Drosophila melanogaster: one gene and its partner. The protein of the gene in region 1 interacts with the protein of each later gene in a pairwise test. Each region holds a gene or a part of one and is shown in the gene's direction. Other genes may lie near its edges. The genes, in order: CG4951 and Spt6.

The links.
Region 2: the proteins of CG4951 (region 1) and Spt6 interact in a two-hybrid assay, tested with the Drosophila melanogaster proteins (one large-scale study listed by BioGRID).

What each region holds. Positions count from the first base shown.
Region 1 is NT_033777.3:27,951,399-27,956,058, reverse strand, and holds CG4951 (uncharacterized protein), read left to right. Parts: upstream 1-1,946; 5' UTR 1,947-2,006; coding exon 2,007-2,057; intron 2,058-2,112; coding exon 2,113-2,561; intron 2,562-2,717; coding exon 2,718-2,915; intron 2,916-2,973; coding exon 2,974-3,066; intron 3,067-3,134; coding exon 3,135-3,302; coding exon of another isoform or gene 3,303-3,306; exon of another isoform or gene 3,307-3,357; intron 3,358-3,376; coding exon 3,377-3,584; intron 3,585-3,644; coding exon 3,645-3,818; 3' UTR 3,819-4,008; downstream 4,009-4,660. Other genes in the region: Nep7 (neprilysin 7), read right to left, coding at 1-1,038; Gp93 (glycoprotein 93), read right to left, coding at 4,234-4,660.
Region 2 is NC_004354.4:6,265,910-6,273,991, forward strand, and holds the start of Spt6 (Spt6), read left to right. Parts: upstream 1-1,887; 5' UTR 1,888-1,997; coding exon 1,998-2,036; intron 2,037-2,197; coding exon 2,198-2,282; intron 2,283-2,857; coding exon 2,858-3,063; intron 3,064-3,215; coding exon 3,216-3,335; intron 3,336-3,404; coding exon 3,405-3,556; intron 3,557-3,621; coding exon 3,622-8,082. Other genes in the region: schlank, read right to left, coding at 498-682. UniProt on the Drosophila melanogaster protein: Histone H3-H4 chaperone that plays a role in maintenance of chromatin structure during RNA polymerase II transcription elongation.

The sequences.
Region 1 (4,660 bases):
GCGGTAGAGAAACCGCATGGCTAGATAATTGGCCACCGCCTCCGTATGCTTGGCGCACACCTTGTCGAGCTCCACATAGTAAAAGTCGCAGAATTCGCCACCGGACGAGCCGTTGTAAAAGTCTATACCATTCCAGGCTATCTCGTAGTAGCTCCTCCACTGACCAAATCGCGGCACCTCCTCAATCTCACTGAGCAAATCGCACTTATCCCTATCGCTCTCGAACTTATCCTCAATACTGAGCGCCTCGCTCCAAAAAGCAAAGACGCCTTCGATCACGGCAGAGATTTCATCCTTCGTGAGATTGTATTCCTTCAGGTAGCCACGCATGCGATGCTCGTTGAGCTGGTAGGCCCGCGAGCTCGTATTGGCAACGTGAGCGGTGTGGACGACATGGTCAAAGCCCAGTTCGGGTAGCTTGAAGTACGGATTGAAGGGATGCTGCGGCAGAATTTCTTCGTGGATCAAACTGCGAACGCCGTAGTTGCTGAGATGGGCGCTCATGTTGAACCAACTGAAGCTGGAGGCGTTCCAGGCGTCTCTGTCGACGGCGGGAAAACCACCCAGCGACCTGATAACCGATAGATAAGCGGGATCGGCAGCGGGCCGCGGAAAGAGCTCGGCCGCCAGGCAGGAATTGTAGAAGCGTTGTGCAACGAGCAGCTCGGCGGACACGTTCAGTGCCTCCGCCAACTTTGTCCTGGTCAGCAGCTGCTCCGTCACGTCCATCAGTGTGTAGCTGATGTCCAGAATATTGCTCCGCCTATGGGGCGATTGCCGCGGCGTTTTCACGTTCTTCCAGTTGCCGCACGCGAACTCGTAGAAGTCGTCGCACGGATCGACGCTGAAGTTCATATAGGACTTCATCATGGCGCCATGGGATCGCAGGTAGTCGGCCGTCTCATCCGTAATCGCGTTCTCATGGGACTCGTCGCCAATACTCCTGGCCTCGCAGTCATTCAAAATCACGCAGATCAGGATGCAAACTGCCAGCCGCGTGTATAGGGGCAGTCGAAAGTAGCTCGAGATTGAGAGCATATTGGTCCGATTCGCAGGGCACACACGCAGTTTGTATAATATAATAAAGTAGTGCGGCCAGTGATCGATCGACCCGGATTATTTGAAAAACCCAACAAGCTCGACTACCTAATCCGGAACGCGATTGAGAACTGAGCAAGCAGCAGCATCTCTCCGATCCCATCGGCGTGTGCTTTTTTTTCGCAATCATGTTGACCAGCAGCACTGGACAACAGAGATTATAATGAATTATATTACTATGACGTCGTTCCGCACACTTTCACCATCTTTGGTGCGCATTCTAAGCCACTGCTTTGAATAATAAGGAGGAGGTCATGGGCATCCAAGCTATCTCTCTAGCCAACTTAGTTTTTAGGTAACCACTTTCGCAGAATGGGAACGATTTTGCTGCACTGTGTAGTCCGGCTGTTCTCTTGGCGAGACTTGACCTAAGCCACACGCTTCTGTTGATAAGGATTTGTAAGTTCTGGGAGATTCATTGATAGCGCCCCTCATTCATTCAGAGTAAAAACAATTCTCAGTTTTGGTTTCAAAATCTCATCGTCACTTGTGTCACACGATTGCACATTGTGAACACGTTCTGAACTTTTGTCCTAATTAACACTTAACACTTTTTTATCTTTGTTGTTTTTTTTTATAAATAAATGCATATATCAGGTGGATTCTTAATATGTTCATTATGCATAATTACTATTTTTATACTTTCTATAGAGATCTCTGTGGTAAAACGTAAAAGTATTTCTTGTCACGTTCCAAAAAAACATTTTGCAGTTTTCTCCAGATAATGAATATTTATGAATTGAATTCAGCTTAAGTTGATACTTTTTTGCCGCCCAAACGTCGATAAAAAAATACAATCGATAGACCACCAAAGCGCTCGTAGTGTGCCCAAAGATCCGCCCCGAATTGTTGTTGCTGTGCCTGTCAGCGGCTACGGTCACATCAGGACGCATAGCAATTTTATAAAAATGTCATTTTCCGCCATCGGTGATTGCCAACTAATTTCGCAATTATACCAGGTAAAAGCCACTGAGATGTGTGATCCGCCATGTCCTAAAGCAGCTCCCATTTCAGTACAAGAAGCACCGCGTCATCTGCAGCGTCAAAGTTCTGCCGACACCTGTGACCCATTTTGAGCGGGAATCCAAGAATGATTTCCATTGGATGACCGCGGATCGGTGGAGCCGGATTGAGTGTGGTCTATGGCGCCTGTTCGAGAACCTGAAGCAGTGGCAGGATGCCTACCAACTGGACACCGAGCTCATTATCGATCACATCATCGTGCGCGTCCAGGCGACCAATAAGTCGCATCCTGCAACGGTCGCTCTTCTGGCCGGTACGGAGTCCAGCTCCAAGGATCTCTGCCTGGACCTACAGCTGCAGTACATAACACAAGAGGACACCACCATTGTGGACGTCATTCCCGCCAAGCGCGAGCTTGCCACGGAAGCAGAAACAAATGGCACCAGACCCACATCCCGCAAGATCCGCGTAGCAAACTCAGGATCCAAGCCAAAAGCGGGGTAGGAAACCCTATTAATTAGTCCCAAATACTCCATAGGCTTGGATTGTGTGGTTTTTGATCCCAATAGCTATGAACCACCTTTGCACCTTTCACATTTTATGTACCGAAGTTGAATGCATTTTAATGTTTTCTCCACTGCATGTTTCCCCTCCAGCACACAATCGAAGCCCAAGCACATTGACGCCGACAACGAGGATGACAAGAGCTCCACCACGGCCAGCCAACCAACCAAGATCAAGAGCGAGCGCAGGTCCATTTCCCAAGGAGGCGAAAAGGATAAGGCTTCTTCCAGCAGCCCCAGTTCCTCGCAGCAGAGCAACCGCATTAAGCGATCGCACAGTCCATCACAGCAGTGAGTTAGGCGAAGGCTAGGATGTGAGAGAACTAAGAGCCTATTGATCTATTCGCAGGAATTCCAGATCCAGCTCCGTTGAGGCCAAGCCTGCACGCCGCTCCGGCCGATCGCCCATACGCCCGAGTCGATTCAAAAACTTCGTAGTTGGGTAAGCCATAGAAATATGGTGCTATAGCGATCAGTTTCATTCATCATTTCCCTGGCTGCCATTTTCAGCGAGACCAGGAGCGGCAAGAGCAGAGGACCCAAGCCCAAAGTGAAACGAGTATCGCCAGTGCCGGCCAAAGATTTCAAGGTGGAACACATGGACGGAGGGCGGTTCAATGCATTGCAGCGGCTGGACAGCATGCTGGACACGCCCAAGCCGCGCGAGGTTAAGATTTTGTAAGTGACTCGACTAGATGCAAATAAAGCGAACACGAATGTGCCTTCAACTTGCGTTCTTTTGATTGGCTCAGACTCTTGGAAAAAATGGGCGAGGACGAGGTGCTGAATACGTTCGAAAACTATCGCAGCGACTTCGATAAGCTGTTCAAGGAGCGCGAGTTCAAGCCGCGCACCAGTCACTACATGAACATTGCCCACATGGACGTCATCGACATACTGAGCAAGAGCATTCACCAGCAGATGCTCAAGAAACTGGGCGAGGTCTACAGCAGTCGAAGCGTAAGTTTGGGGCGTCCTGGAGTGACACACATATCCATCCTAACATGTCCCGATTACCAGAACCACACGTCGCTGCTGGTGAACGGACTGCTCCCGCTGTGGATAGTGCGCCTCTTTATGGACACATACACGCTGTCCCAATCGGAGGCCGTGCAGCAGATCCGCGACCAGATGAAGTACAACACCTACTTGAGGGCCCTGAACGATGAGCCGCTGAGTTCCGATCTTGACTGATCGAGCAATCAATTCACTTTTTAACTATTTTTTGGTATCCGATTGCGGAAATTTTACATTGCGCGCCATATTAAATAGGCAGTTGTTTTAGTTTTAAATTCATTTGTCTTTATTTGTTTTGATTGGAATCTGTTGTGTACTAAGCATATTACATTGTATAAATACATAATTCACTTGCTTTCGAAAAAAGAAAACGCTTGAGCAACCAAGTGTGCTGGCTGAAATGGTGGAGTGCTCTCTGGGCGACTGGCGGTGATGACGGCGTGGGCGAAGGACTACGAAATTATTTTACTTAGAATCTAGCGTGTAATGTTGATGGAGTGCCCGCCCGGCCACCCGGTGGCGGTTTAAAACTCAGTCTGAACTTCACACTCTTATGTACAATCTATTTGGACAGTGGGTGAGGTGAAGTAGTTTACAGCTCGTCGTGCTGCTGCTCCTCCTCCTCATCATCGGCGTTGCCGCTCTCCTGGCTGCCGGTGGCGGTCTCCTCGGCATCATCCTCCTCCTCCTCGTCGAACTCCACCTGCTCGTCTTGGGAGACACCCAAGGTCTGGCGCATCATCTGCTCAATACTGTCGGCGAACTGCGAAGTCTCCTGGAGCATGTATCCAGACCGCAGGGTGGCGGTGCGGAACATCATCACAGCCATGTCCTTGGCGGTGTCATCGGCCTCGTCGGCCTCCACGCGGCGCAGCAGCTCGCGCATCAGCGGATGCCTGGGATTGATCTCGAGCGTTTTCTTCTGGTTGAGGTAGTAGGTGCGCTGAGGATCGTCGGACTTCTGGTGGGCGTTGGACATGGCCAGACGCTCCATGTTGCCGGTCCAGCCGAAGACGCCG
Region 2 (8,082 bases), on another chromosome or scaffold:
ATGGAGTGGGGCTAATATTTTGTGGGAAATTCGTTGCCGGCTGGCTGGAAACTGCAGCCGGCGTCGCTTGGAAAGGGAAAACTTCGAGTTGCAGCAACAAAAAACGCGTGTATGCCGCACAAACCGCACACAAGCAAACAAGCGCTGTTTCACACACACACACATATATATATATATTTACACGGACGCTTGCAGAATGTTGGGCGTTTCCACGTGAGGTTATGTTTGTCGATAAAAAAAAAATGAAATGAAATGGAGAAAAGAAGGAATTATGAATAAAGTTTACTGTACATGGTGCAACAAACGTGGGGCGGTGGGCTTACTCAATGGTAAGGAGAGCGAGAAAGAGCGGGAGAGAGCGAGGGAAAGCCGTATGAATGGGGTTAGAGAAAGAGGCGGAATGGAATCATGTTGCCGGGAATGGCGAGAATGGAAAGGGAGTCAGTCAGTTGGTTGGGAAGAGTGCGGAGGGGGGAAAATGGACGTGGAAAACTTACCGCTCCAGCGTGTAGCGGACCAGCATGACAACAGCGGCGAATGGAATGGGCCATATGAGGTCCTTGTAGTTGGCGTGCACCACATCTGGACGCGAGCCGGGCGCAATGTCCGCCCAGGTTGTGTTCGGCGGCAGCCAAATGTGCGTACTCCAGAATACATTGCTGAACTCATTCAATATGTCCATGTTGCTGCTTCAGTTGCCGCTTCTTAATTTCTCAATTGTTTGTTTTCTTTTTCTTGGTTTTCCTTTGCTTAGCTTTCCAGTTTTTCCTTGGCGTTTGTTGTCACATATGTATATGCTTTGCTTTTTCTAAATATTCGCAATTGTATGAGCCTGTGTTATTGTGCCTTGCGAACAACAGCAACAATAACAGCAAGAACAACAATAAGCGACAACAACAGCAACAAGAACAACAACAGGAGCACCGGACACTAATGCACACTCACAGCGTAGCACAAACACACACTGGCAAAAAAACAAAAACCGCCGAATCGAATTGTTGTTGTCTTGTCTCGTTAACTTGCGCTTATGGCTTTTCTAATTCTACTTCTATTTCTATTTGGATTTCGATTTAATTCGTTTTTGGAAATGCTACCTTTGCCGTTTGTTTGGGAGCGTAAATGAAGTGAAGTTCCCTGACAATCTGTTCTCGACCAAAGCAATAGACTTTCTGAATTTCGGCTCGGTGTCGAGTCGGCCGCCGCTCGTTTCGTCCACTTAAACTTTCAGGATGAACGAAAAAAAATACTAATAGTATTTCCTCGTCGAGCAACAACAATACAGTGTGCCCAGAGACGGCGGAGCAGTAAATGTAACTGCAGCGCGACAAGTGTGCCCGTGTACGGGAAGACAAGGAAAGCCAGCAAAAATAAGGCTTTAGAAGCTACACAAAATACCAAATGCACTAATAATTTTAAAGAACTTTTAATTCACAAGTTTGCGAATTTTGTTTATTGCTTATTATTATTATTGTTCATTACGTTTACCACTAGTTTTTGAGAGAAATTATTATGCGCTACAATTAGTGTTGGTTTTTCGGTAAGAACTCATAAAAGTCAACTATGTAAAGGAAGTATGCCATGGACTATAATGGAAATTAGCAAACTTCATCGTTGAGACCAAAGGGCATATGTGTGTTCCCATATAGGGGAATTTTCCCGCTTATCAATACAAGTATGTGTGCAAAATTCTTGTCCAATTGTTGTCAGCACATGAAAACGGATAACTAACCATAGGTTATAGGAAGGATCCACTGTAGTTCTGCAATGCAAACCAGGGCTGGCAGCGAGAACACTGCTGTAAGCTAACAGCAAACTGTACTGTAAACAGTAGAAAACTGTTCGTGGTATTTAGTATTTAGCTAGTATTTTAATACCAACTTTTGTGCAATGCGATGAGAAATAAAGAAGAAGAGAAGAGGAAGAAACGCTCACAAACTCTTCGTTTCTCTGCATTAATACGCACTTTATTATTAAGTTAAGCTTTATTCCATTATATTATGGCCGAATTTCTGGACTCCGAGGCCGAGGAATCGGAGGTAGGTGTCTGCGGAACCCCAAAAACACTATTTCTAGAAGCGCGTACCGTTCGTGCGTCGTTATGTGTGCGGTGTGCGTTGCGCCTTGCGTGTGTGTACATACATATGTGCCTACATATATATTGAATTAACCAAATGGCTTTTCTTCGTTTTTCCCGCAGGAGGAGGAAGAATTGGACGTCAACGAGCGCAAGAGACTCAAGAAACTGAAGGCGGCCGTCTCCGATAGTAGCGAAGAAGAAGAAGGTGAGTTTTTCCACTGGAGCCGCTGAAGGCGCGTACAAATACATACATACATACATACGTATGTGGCGATCTCTGGCGGGTTTTTCACCCCTCTCACCATCCATCGATCGGAACAGTCCATATCCGGGATAAAGGCACCTATAACTGGCCAATGCCACACGCTTGCAACTTCTTTTGTTTACAACTTTGAGGTTAGGTCTTGTGTTTTTACCGTGCTACCGTGGCCATCAAATATCAGCATCAGCAGTAGCAATAGCAGCAGCAACAACAACAAACAGCTGCGCTCGTTCCAGTAAATAAAACAAGTGCGGCGAATTGGAAGAACGCGGCGTATTCCAAGAAATTGCAAATCAAAGCAGGGAGGGAGAATTAGTTCAATAGATGGAGCTGGAATAATCAATGGTTAGGGCTTATCTATATCGAAATCTAGGTAATTTATCAAATGTAGGTCTTTCTCAAAACCGGGTGAATTACTTAAATTTAAGCTTTAAAAACAGTTTTCAGTTGCATATGTATATCTGCGGCTACAATGAAGGTAAAAGGTAAACCGATATTCTTATTGCCCTATTCCGTAGACGACGAGGAACGGCTGCGCGAAGAGCTCAAAGATCTGATCGACGACAATCCCATCGAGGAGGACGATGGCAGTGGTTACGATTCCGATGGCGTCGGCAGCGGCAAGAAGCGCAAAAAGCACGAGGACGACGATCTGGACGATCGACTGGAGGACGACGACTACGATCTTATCGAGGAGAATCTGGGCGTCAAAGTCGAGAGACGGGTAGGTGTTCCCTTCAGGGAAGAACTATGTACTTTTTAAACTCCAATTGTGGCTCCAATTTCGAAGCTTAACTAACAAAGAATAACATAGCTGAGGGATTGGGGCTTCTATCTCCTCAAATATATTGTTTGAAATTATGTTTTCCCTTGTAGAAGCGGTTCAAGCGTCTGCGTCGCATCCACGACAACGAAAGCGATGGCGAGGAGCAGCACGTGGACGAGGGTCTGGTGCGTGAGCAGATTGCCGAGCAGTTGTTCGACGAGAACGATGAGGTATGCCACTAGTAATCCCTGACCACCAATTAATGCACAGTGTCCAACTGATTGCCCCTGATCCTACAGAGCATTGGTCATCGCAGCGAGCGCAGTCACAGGGAGGCGGACGACTACGACGACGTGGATACGGAGTCGGACGCAGATGACTTCATTGTGGACGATAATGGGCGTCCCATAGCCGAGAAGAAGAAGAAACGGCGCCCCATCTTTACAGACGCGTAAGTATACAAACTATAATAAAGTTTAGATATCAATAGATACGATTAATATAATCCAACCACAGATCACTTCAAGAGGGTCAGGACATCTTTGGCGTAGACTTCGACTATGACGACTTCTCAAAGTACGAGGAAGACGACTACGAAGATGACTCGGAAGGAGATGAGTACGATGAGGATCTGGGCGTCGGCGATGATACGCGCGTCAAGAAGAAGAAAGCGCTCAAAAAGAAGGTGGTCAAGAAGACAATCTTCGACATATACGAGCCCAGCGAGCTCAAGCGTGGTCATTTCACCGATATGGACAACGAGATTCGCAAGACAGACATCCCAGAAAGAATGCAGCTGCGAGAGGTGCCCGTAACCCCGGTGCCCGAGGGATCAGACGAGCTGGACCTCGAGGCTGAATGGATCTACAAATATGCCTTCTGCAAGCACACTGTTTCGGAACAGGAAAAGCCGGAGAGCCGCGAGAAAATGCGCAAACCACCGACAACCGTTAACAAGATTAAGCAGACGCTAGAATTTATACGCAACCAGCAGTTGGAGGTGCCCTTTATAGCCTTCTATCGCAAGGAGTATGTGAAGCCAGAGCTTAATATCGACGATCTCTGGAAGGTTTACTACTACGATGGGATCTGGTGTCAGCTAAACGAGCGAAAGCGCAAGCTAAAGGTGCTTTTCGAAAAGATGCGTCAGTTCCAGCTGGACACGCTATGCGCCGACACAGATCAACCCGTACCGGATGATGTTCGCCTCATCCTGGACAGCGATTTCGAGCGCCTCGCCGACGTACAGTCGATGGAGGAGCTAAAGGACGTGCACATGTACTTTCTGCTGAACTATTCGCATGAGCTGCCCCGCATGCAGGCGGAGCAGCGACGAAAAGCTATACAGGAGCGTCGCGAGGCCAAGGCGCGTCGCCAGGCAGCCGCCGCTGAGAACGGTGATGATGCGGCCGAGGCGATAGTTGTACCAGAGCCGGAAGACGATGACGATCCCGAGCTGATCGATTACCAACTAAAGCAGGCGTCCAACAGCAGTCCCTATGCGGTATTCCGCAAGGCGGGCATCTGCGGCTTTGCCAAACACTTTGGTCTCACGCCGGAGCAGTATGCCGAAAATCTGCGCGACAATTACCAGCGCAATGAGATCACCCAGGAAAGCATCGGTCCCACAGAGCTGGCCAAGCAATATTTGTCGCCGCGCTTCATGACCACGGATGAGGTTATCCATGCCGCAAAATACGTTGTGGCCCGACAGCTGGCACAAGAGCCTCTGCTGCGCAAGACCATGCGTGAGGTGTATTTCGACAGAGCTAGGATTAACATACGGCCCACCAAGAATGGCATGGTGCTGATCGATGAGAATTCGCCGGTGTATTCGATGAAGTACGTGGCCAAGAAGCCGGTAAGCGATCTATTTGGCGATCAATTCATAAAGCTAATGATGGCCGAGGAGGAGAAGCTGCTGGAGATAACGTTCCTCGAGGAGTTCGAGGGCAATGCGTGTGCCAACGGAACACCCGGTGACTATGTGGAAGAGTCCAAGGCCCTGTACCAGCTGGATCAGTTTGCCAAGCACGTGCAGGAGTGGAATAAGCTGCGGGCGGAATGCGTACAGCTGGCGCTGCAGAAGTGGGTCATTCCGGATCTGATCAAGGAGCTGCGCTCAACTCTGCACGAGGAGGCTCAGCAATTTGTGCTGCGTTCCTGCACGGGTAAGCTGTATAAGTGGCTAAAGGTGGCACCCTATAAACCGCAACTGCCCCCCGACTTTGGCTACGAGGAGTGGAGCACGCTGAGGGGCATACGGGTGCTGGGTCTGGCCTACGATCCCGATCACTCAGTGGCCGCTTTCTGTGCGGTGACTACCGTGGAGGGCGACATCTCCGACTACCTGCGACTGCCGAACATTCTGAAGCGCAAGAATTCTTACAACCTTGAGGAGAAGGCCCAGAAGTTGGCCGACCTTCGAAAGCTGAGTGACTTTATCAAAATGAAGAAGCCACACATTGTTGTCATCGGAGCGGAATCGCGCGATGCCCAGAACATCCAGGCAGACATTAAGGAGATTCTGCATGAACTCGAGACCTCCGAACAATTTCCGCCCATCGAGGTGGAGATAATCGACAACGAGCTGGCCAAGATCTATGCCAACTCGAAGAAGGGCGAGTCTGACTTTAAGGAGTATCCTCCTCTGCTGAAGCAGGCTGCTTCGCTGGCCCGCAAGATGCAGGATCCGCTAGTGGAATACTCACAGCTGTGTGATGCGGACGACGAGATTCTCTGCCTGCGCTACCATCCGCTACAGGAGCGTGTGCCGCGCGAACAGCTGCTGGAGCAGCTCAGCCTGCAGTTTATCAATCGAACGAGCGAGGTGGGTCTGGACATTAACCTGATGGTGCAGAACTCACGGACCATCAACCTGCTGCAGTACATCTGTGGCTTGGGTCCGCGCAAGGGTCAGGCTTTACTTAAACTTCTTAAGCAGAGCAACCAGCGGTTGGAGAACCGCACCCAGCTGGTCACCGTGTGTCATCTGGGGCCCAGGGTCTTTATCAACTGCAGCGGTTTCATTAAGATCGATACCTCATCGCTGGGCGACAGCACAGAGGCGTATGTCGAGGTGCTGGACGGGTCGCGTGTGCATCCAGAAACGTACGAGTGGGCCAGAAAGATGGCCATCGATGCCATGGAGTACGACGACGAGGAGACCAATCCGGCCGGTGCCCTTGAGGAAATTCTCGAGTCGCCAGAGCGCCTTAAGGATCTCGATCTGGACGCATTCGCTGTGGAACTGGAGCGCCAGGGATTCGGCAGCAAGAGCATAACCTTGTACGACATAAGGAACGAGTTGAGCTGCCTGTACAAGGACTACCGCACTCCGTACACAAAGCCCAGTGCGGAGGAGCTCTTCGATATGCTGACCAAGGAGACGCCCGACTCGTTTTATGTGGGCAAGTGCGTCACGGCCATGGTCACCGGTTTCACCTACCGTCGGCCGCAGGGCGATCAGCTAGACAGCGCAAATCCGGTGCGTCTAGATTCCAACGAAAGCTGGCAGTGCCCCTTCTGCCACAAGGACGACTTCCCAGAGCTGTCCGAGGTGTGGAATCACTTTGACGCGAACGCGTGCCCTGGCCAGCCATCTGGTGTGCGTGTGCGTCTGGAGAACGGCCTGCCTGGCTTTATACACATCAAGAACTTGTCCGATAGACAGGTTCGCAATCCCGAAGAACGTGTGCGCGTCTCACAGATGATTCATGTTCGCATCATTAAGATAGACATTGACCGGTTCTCAGTCGAATGCTCTTCGAGGACCGCTGATCTTAAGGATGTGAACAATGAGTGGCGGCCGCGTCGCGACAACTACTATGATTATGTGACTGAGGAGCAGGACAATCGGAAAGTGAGCGATGCCAAGGCCAGGGCTCTGAAGCGCAAAATTTACGCGCGTCGCGTAATCGCCCATCCCAGCTTCTTCAACAAGTCGTACGCGGAGGTGGTGGCCATGCTAGCGGAGGCCGATCAGGGCGAGGTGGCCCTGCGTCCGAGCAGCAAGTCCAAGGACCATCTGACAGCCACCTGGAAGGTGGCCGACGACATCTTCCAGCACATCGATGTGCGCGAGGAGGGTAAAGAGAACGATTTCAGCCTGGGCAGAAGTCTGTGGATCGGCACCGAGGAGTTCGAGGATCTGGACGAGATCATCGCCCGCCACATCATGCCGATGGCCTTGGCTGCCCGCGAACTGATACAGTACAAGTACTACAAGCCAAACATGGTGACCGGCGATGAAAATGAACGGGATGTCATGGAAAAGTTGCTGCGCGAGGAGAAGGCAAATGATCCGAAGAAGATACACTACTTTTTTACGGCCTCACGCGCCATGCCGGGCAAGTTCCTGCTGTCCTATCTGCCCAAGACGAAGGTGCGTCACGAGTATGTGACGGTCATGCCGGAGGGCTATCGTTTCCGTGGCCAGATTTTCGATACGGTTAACAGTCTGCTGCGTTGGTTTAAGGAACACTGGCTGGATCCAACGGCCACGCCGGCCAGCGCCTCGGCGTCCAACTTAACGCCACTGCACTTGATGCGTCCGCCGCCGACGATCTCGTCGTCATCCCAGACCTCCTTGGGCCCCCAGGCGCCCTACAGCGTCACTGGCAGCGTGACTGGTGGAACGCCGCGCAGTGGCATCAGCAGTGCCGTCGGCGGTGGCGGTTCCAGCGCCTACTCCATTACGCAATCCATCACTGGCTACGGCACGTCGGGCAGTTCTGCTCCAGGGGCTGGAGTATCTTCCTCCCACTATGGCAGCTCATCGACGCCGTCGTTTGGCGCCATCAATACGCCATACACGCCCAGTGGACAGACTCCGTTCATGACGCCCTACACGCCGCATGCCTCACAGACGCCTCGCTATGGTCACAATGTGCCCAGTCCCAGCTCGCAATCATCGAGCAGTCAGAGGCATCACTACGGCAGCAGTTCCGGAACGGGCAGCACGCCCAGGTATCACGA